Linked DNA regions of Rattus norvegicus. The main gene of each other region encodes a partner of the protein of the gene in region 2 in a complex. Links are inferred from orthologs where the notes say so. Each region holds a gene or a part of one and is shown on either strand. Other genes may lie near its edges.

Evidence for each region.
Region 1: the proteins of Spag9 (region 2) and Arf6 are in contact, whole or in part, in a crystal structure (PDB 2W83), measured with the Homo sapiens proteins. The link is inferred for Rattus norvegicus from reciprocal best matches to the Homo sapiens genes SPAG9 and ARF6. Residues at the interface, in NP_001124000.1 of Homo sapiens: Lys431, Asn432, Ile435, Val438, Asp439, Thr442, Cys443, Asp446, Val447, Gln449; in NP_001654.1 of Homo sapiens: Glu13, Arg15, Lys34, Phe47, Val49, Glu50, Thr51, Thr53, Lys58, Asn60, Trp62, His76, Tyr77, Thr79.

What each region holds. Positions count from the first base shown.
Region 1 is NC_086024.1:93,588,196-93,591,643, reverse strand, and holds Arf6 (ADP-ribosylation factor 6), read right to left. Parts: upstream 1,868-3,448; 5' UTR 1,716-1,867; coding exon 1,188-1,715; 3' UTR 719-1,187; downstream 1-718. UniProt on the Homo sapiens protein: GTP-binding protein involved in protein trafficking that regulates endocytic recycling and cytoskeleton remodeling. GTP-bound form plays an important role in the transport of multiple palmitoylated proteins form the Golgi to the plasma membrane.
Region 2 is NC_086028.1:79,534,366-79,538,184, reverse strand, and holds part of Spag9 (C-Jun-amino-terminal kinase-interacting protein 4), read right to left. Parts: intron 1,875-3,819; coding exon 1,744-1,874; intron 1-1,743. UniProt on the Homo sapiens protein: The JNK-interacting protein (JIP) group of scaffold proteins selectively mediates JNK signaling by aggregating specific components of the MAPK cascade to form a functional JNK signaling module.

The DNA.
Region 1 (3,448 bases), on a different chromosome or scaffold from region 2:
AGGATATCTGCATGAATAAACCTACAATCAAGCAAAACTAAATACCTTTTTAAAATAAAACATCTTTTCCAGTGTCTTAATGGAGATGTAAATCACTCATCTATTAAAAAAGTCTCGTATCTTCAGTCTAATCAGTTGCTGTAATGTGAAAACAGGAATGTGTTGGGTTTTTTTTTCCAGCTAGGTTAAAGGTGCATGTAATTTGGCTTTTTAAATATTTTATTAGTGAGCCAAGTAAATGTTTAGTAATTTTAAAACTACTGGTCTTAAGACAGTTCCAGTTTTGCCCAAAAGTCACTTTAAAGTATCTACAAATACTTCATCTGTGTGGCATACACCATTATTGCTCCACTTTCTGGAAAGAGCATTTTTATCCATAAGAGGGAATCAGCAAAGTTGCTAACTTTGCAGGGAGAAGGACCTGTACCCTTTACAGGCTCTGCTTGTTTTAGTCGGTAAAGTTAGCTATGGCAAAGGGGACTTGAGCCTTACTCCTACTCATGCACGTTAATGGCTGACTTCAAGGGATTCCTTACATTACCTATCTGACACACTGGTGTGCAACTGAACATTACACTGGTATTACTCATTTTGCCACTATGGGCTAAGTTCACCATACTGGTCTTGGCTATAAAAGGTCACATTTGAAACTGCTAAAGTTAGAGCTAACAAGGAAGGGAGGGAAGGCCTTAAATATAAAAGACAAACGGCAGTTTGATTAAGCAATAATTTTCAGTTTACTAGATGAAACAGACTTGGAACATAGTCTGCATGAATGCAAAATAAGCCATCTACAGCAAGTGATAAGAAACTGGGCAAAAAGGAAAAAGGCATACATGGGGGGAGATTCTCTCGAAATAAAAAAAAAAAATCAAAACCATTATTATAAAGGACTTTACCAAGAGTTGCTATTACCCCACCCCGTTTGCTGGAAGTCACAAGAGCATATAGCACTGTATTCGTGTCAAATGTCAGATCAGAGCATCCTAACGCAAAGCCGAAAGGAAATAGAAGAGGGGGGGTAAGGGGAACAAAGAAAACCCCCAACCCCACTAAACGGTAGAACAGTAACTCGAGTTCAGTTTCAAAAAAGAGAGTGGCAATTGAAAGAGGTGATGATGGTGGCGATAATCCTATGAATGGGTTTTTGATTTCTCTCCTTCCGGGGGCTGGGTGGAGGGCGCTCATTAGGATTTGTAGTTAGAGGTTAACCATGTGAGCCCCTCATAGAGTCCGTCCCCGGAGGTGGCACAGGAGGGCTGCACATACCAGTTCCTGTCCCGAATCCGGGTCAGGCCCAGTTTCTCCTGGATCTCATGGGGTTTCATGGCATCAGGCAGGTCCTGCTTGTTGGCGAAGATGAGGATTATGGCGTCCCTCATCTCCCGGTCATTGATAATGCGGTGCAGCTCCTGGCGGGCCTCATCGATGCGGTCGCGGTCGGCGCAGTCTACCACGAAGATCAGACCCTGGGTCCCGGTGTAGTAATGCCGCCAGAGCGGCCGGATCTTGTCCTGGCCGCCCACATCCCACACGTTGAACTTGACGTTTTTGTAAGTCACCGTCTCCACGTTGAAACCCACCGTGGGAATGGTGGTCACAGACTGGCCCAGCTTCAACTTGTACAGGATCGTTGTCTTGCCGGCTGCGTCCAGGCCCAGCATGAGGATCCGCATTTCCTTGTTCCCGAAGATCTTGGATAGCACCTTCCCCATCGCGTCGGAAGAGCCGGGGCCGGGGGCATTCAGGTGTCCCGGGTCCCCTCAGCCTACAACGCCGCCGCCGCTGCGAGCCCGAAAAGTAGCCGCCCCGCCGCGAGGACGCCCTGCGGCCCGGCTTGCGCGAAGCTGCCTGCTAGGGGCAGGGGCCCGGCCTGCGCTCACTCGGGCATCGCCCGCCGCCGGGGCCCTGCGTCTGCGCCGGGAGAGCCGCCGCCCTGCTGAGGCGAGGCGCGGCCGGCCCGGAACTGCCCTTCCCCCCGCAGGCGCCGCGCGAGCGCCGCCGACAGCTCCTCCGCCGCCTCAGCACGCGGCAGGTCAAACTGCGGCCCTCCCGCCGGCCTGCGAGCACCGGGCTCCGCACCAACCCTGGTCACCCGACGAAGAGCGCGGCTCTGCGCCCCGTCAGGTCATGGATCCTCGCGGGAACTCGGTGCTACCTGCAGAGACACAGAGAGGGAGAAGGGAGTTACCGCCGGGACTCCGACGGTGCTGAGACCGACCCGGCCCGCCTTTCGGGCTCGGCCCTTGAGATTACCTCCAGCCGCCGCCCCAAGCGCGGGTTCCCTCCGGCCTCCACCTCCTCCTCCCCAGTTCTGCTGCCGCCGCTGCCGGAAAAGGCGCCGAGGAAACCGCCTCACTTCCCCTCCCGACTGCGCACGCGCACCTCAGCCCGACCGTTCGGAAGAGCGCGACCTCTGAAAGGAGAGTGGCCCGCGCGCCTAGCGTCACGAGCGCCACGCGCCGGGGGTGGGGCTACGGCGGCTCGGGGGGCTCACGCGGACGCCTTGCGGAACCTGCTGGAGCGGGGCTGGCCGTACGCCCACCTGTCGCTCTCCCAGGGTCTCCGCTGTTTTCCCTTCTCCGCCACTGGAAGGCGGGGCAAAAATCCACTGGGTGTTCAACGCCCCCACCCAGGCTTCCCAGGTTTGCTCCCGGACACCCTGCGCAAAGTTCCTCCCGCTCGCCCCAGCCTTCCGCACCCGGGTCTCCTTTTTACTCCGACGCCTCCCGACTTCCTTCTGTTTCCTGAAAGACACGTGGGAGGCCAGTGTTCCATAGAATCCGCCAAAGTCGCCCGCACTTTTACTCGTGTTGGGTTTGCCCCTAAGCCCTGCCTGTGAAAGTTTAAACTTGTCCTCTTTGTAAGTCTGAACCACCCGCACTTCTTAGGAAATAGACTTTCAGGACCGACGAGATGGCTGTGTGCGTGAAGCCTGCCGCCGAGAGGGCGGACCCGTGTTCAGTCCCCAGAACCCGTATGGTGGAAGGAGAGAACCAACTCCCTCAAATTGACTTCAGATCTCCACGCACCATAAGGAAACTATTTGAGTTTTGTTTTTATTTTCAAATACTTTTTTCATTTAGTGTGCGTGTGCACAGAGAGGTCAGAAGACAACTTGCCAGAGCCAGTTCCTCATATGGGTCTAAGGTATCAAACTCAAGTCATCAAGCTTGGCGGCCAGCACTTTTACGTACTACCTTCTTGCTGGCTGAGAAAACATTTTTGTATTAAGTGACTAGTGTTAAGTAAGGTTAAAGTAAAGTGAAATTTTAAATGTAAATAAGGGCAAAAATAAACACGAAGGAAAAAAACTGAAAAGTTCAAGGAAGTTACTACGACAGCATATGATAATATACTTTTTATTTTATAATTGATAAAAAAATTGAAGTCATCAGCCAGATATGACTCACATCTATCCCAATTATGGCAGAGGGTCGCCATAATT
Region 2 (3,819 bases):
CCTCTTAGCATCATCATCTTTCAAGTGGCTAGACTCCAAGAGCAGGCCTCTGACGAACAGCACAAAAGCATTCACGGCGGGTGTAATGGCACAAAACTCTAATCCCAGCACTCAGGACTGAGGTGGAAGGACTGTAAGTTTGGGGCCAGTTTGGAACAAGATCTTCTCTCAACAAACAAACAAACAAACAAACAAACAAACAAAAAGCAAAGAAAAAAATTAAAGATATACTCTAGCTCCCTCTTTAAAATACTTCTTACAAATTCCTATTCTTACTTTAAGGTTTCTTTTATCTGCGCTCTAAACTTTCACTGAACATCTTGCAACTATACTGCTCTGGTGGCAACTTACTAAGTAAGTGGTGCTAAAAATGATGTTTGTATGAGGAGGGTTCAAGGTTAGGTTTACAAACTTGAAAACAATGTATAAATCTGATGTGATAATTCAAACTCAAGAATATGAGTAAATTAATGGAAAGTCAGCTGACAAACTTTTCTATAGCTGTTTTTGAGTGCAAGGAGGGAATGTCTACTGAGATCATGACCACTAGATGGCAGCAGTCTGTGAGATTTAAGAGCCATAAAGGACAACTATGTGTCCTCTCAAGCTGTTTGTGATGGAGGGCCAGTCTTGTGGCCTTGGATCTGTAAGCTATTGGAATGTTGTAGGAATTGGTACAGTTTTATATGGAAAAAAAAGATGTGAACATGAGAATATAGCAAAAGCAAGCCTTGCTAAAATTAATATTTCTTTTAACCCACATGGCACTGGATTAATAAGAAAGGATATTGTGACATTCTAGGAATCAGGCATGCTACAATAAAATATAGAAATGGCTGCTGATACATGAGTCTAAATGATTACTTTTTGACAGTTTACATCCCCTGTTGAGTGCACTAAATCTTATTTGTCAAGGAAGGTACTTAGAGGTAGGGAGTGGATAGATAGTACAGAAACAGTCTTAGTTATAAACTTCAAGATAAAATTTTGGGAAATAAAGTACAAAATTTCATCAATATCAAGTAATGTTATGAAATAAACATTCTCTGTCTTTTGCAGTTGTAAAACATATACAACATAGAAAATGGATCATAAGTTCTGTTAATAAAATTAATATTTTAATTGAGTTTTAAAAAAGGGAGAGTTTACAAAGAAGTCAGCTTGATTGCAAAGAGTGATGATTAGAGGCTAGCAGGTCTGGAGAGTGAATAACGGAAGGTTGGGTCTGGTTACACAGCATGGTACGCACACACTGGCTGGCACTTAACTCCACCAACAGGAACCATTACAACATATTAATGATAAAAACAAACGTCTAATTGACAGAAAGACACCAAAGGAAAAATATATTGTGCATGAAGAGAAAGAGGGGGCAGTCAAATAAGTATATTTAATAGGAAAATACTAAATATATTTTCCATATACTGCATGTGAAATCGACACTGGGAGAGAATATTATTTCCTTTTTTTTTTTTTTTTAAATGACCATTATTCTTAAGTAACAACAACTATCTCTTACAAGTTATGAGATTATCCTCTAAGGTCATGTACTATCTCAAAAGACACCTAGGCTTTGGGACATCTCTGGTCTCGTTCTGTTATTAATGTTAGAAACGTTAACCGAAAGTTTCTCCTATTGAATAAGGAAATGGCATGAACCCTCAGTCAGGGATTGGTTGGCAATGAAGAAACACATGCATCCAATGAAACAGCAAGAAACATCGGAGCACTTCTCATACACACCGGATCATCTCTGTCCATCGCACAGCTTCTTGAAGCTCCATCAGCCTCTCTTTGTACTGGTTTCTCTCCATGAGAACTCTGGCCATTTCCACTCTGGTAAACCGCTTCCTCTGGGCGGTAGGAATGTCGCTCTGTAATAGGAGGGTGGCAGGTCACTCGGGCTTTATACGTGATCTGATGTTGAGACTCACACTTAAACCAAATCTCAAGTTTTTAAGCATTTCTTTATTTCTAACTCGATGACCTTAAAATGGCCTTATAAAATAAAATCGGGCACTCAAATTTTTATCTATGACTGAAAAGAAGTAGGTAATCCAATTTCCGAATATAAATATTACTATTTGAATATACAAAAGGATTAGTAAGAATTAAAAAGTTTCAGGTGTAACAGATTTAATATGCTCTCAAAAATTTTACTTGGAAACATTTTTTCTAACATTTACAATTGATATTCAGCAAATAGTTACAATTAATTCCAAAAAGGCTCATTTATCTCAAACTACCAGTCCACATAACATATCCAGGAGTCAACATAGTGAACCTATTATCTAGTTGCTAAAGAACCTAACTATAACAGTAAAAGCAAACAAACAAAACCACAGGGGAAGCAGGTAGTTTAATAACAGGGCTTTGCTCTGTTCAGAGAGGTGTGTATACTTTAGGTCAATACTGACACTTTGGAACAGTGACACAGAAGCTTCACTCAAACCTTAGCAGTCTTCCTGCTCTGTCCTCCTGCCTCAGAATTTAGCCTGCCTCTTCAAACAAAAGTCATCCACAAATAACAAAAGTCCTGAATTCTGCTGGGTGGTGGGTGGTAGTGAGGGCTGCACAGGCCTTTAATACCTGGGCTAGGGAGGCAGAAGCAGGCCAGCCTGGTTTATGAGCTTGTTGTAAAATAACCACAGCTACAAAGAAATCCTGTCTCAAAAAGCAAAACAGAAAACAACAACAAAAGCTCTGAATTCCCCAACACAGTAATACCATTCATGACTAGGCATATACTCTGAACAACAACAACAATCCACAAGTCTTCATTCCAGAAGGCTTGTACTATAATGTTCTGGGTTTTGTTGTTACTGTTGTTTCTTTGTTTTCTTTTATTGCGGGGGTGGGGGGTGTAGGGTGGGTGTTGATATTAAGACAAGTTCTCACTGCATAGCCCTGGCTGACCTGGAACTCCCTATGTAGAACAGACTGGCCTCAAAGTCAGAGCTCCGCCTGCATTGAGTGCTGGAATTAAAGGGACACACCATCACCTGTCTGTTTTTGTTTTGGACAGACCTCACTATGCCATCCAGGCTAGTACAACTGACCTCTCCACACACAGTTCCATGTGCCATCCTCCTACCTCAGGCTTTGCACATATTGGGATTACAAAAGCAAGTATCACCACACCTATTTTATTAAATGCCTTTAACAGCAGCATTGTTTGTTGTGAGAAAAAGATGAAATACCTACCTTAAATATTCATTAACAAGAAAACAGAAAAACTATAGCACATTCATATAGTGGGATGCTAAAAATGAACTACACCAGTTATTACAACACAAATGAATCTCAAACTATACTACTGAGTCAAAACAGCAAGTCTCTAAGATAGAGTATAGTGTCTCAGTGATATGAGGGGCTGAACCCGGGCCTCCGGCATGAGTGCTCGACCACTGAGCCGGGACCTCTGGCCCTAACAGTGGTATGAAACAAAACCAGAACCATACTTTGTAGGAATACTATAGAGAAGGAAATTTAATTTCTAAATACAAACATTTTAATAATTTATTTAAAAAAAAACTATGATTTGAGGCTGGAGAAATGGCCCAGTGGTTAAGAACACTGACTGCCCTTCCAGAGGTCCTGAGTTCAATTCCCAGCAACCACATGGTGGCTCACAACCATCTGTAATGGGATCTGATTTCCTGTTCTGTTGTGTCTGAAGACAGAAATACATATATATGGAAAGGAAGAGGGAGAGGGAGAATATTATGATGCTGGGTATGAGGGTGTAGGCCTTTAATCCCAGCACTGAGGAGAGAGAAGCCAAGGAGATCTCCATGAGTTTGAAGCTAACCTGTTCTA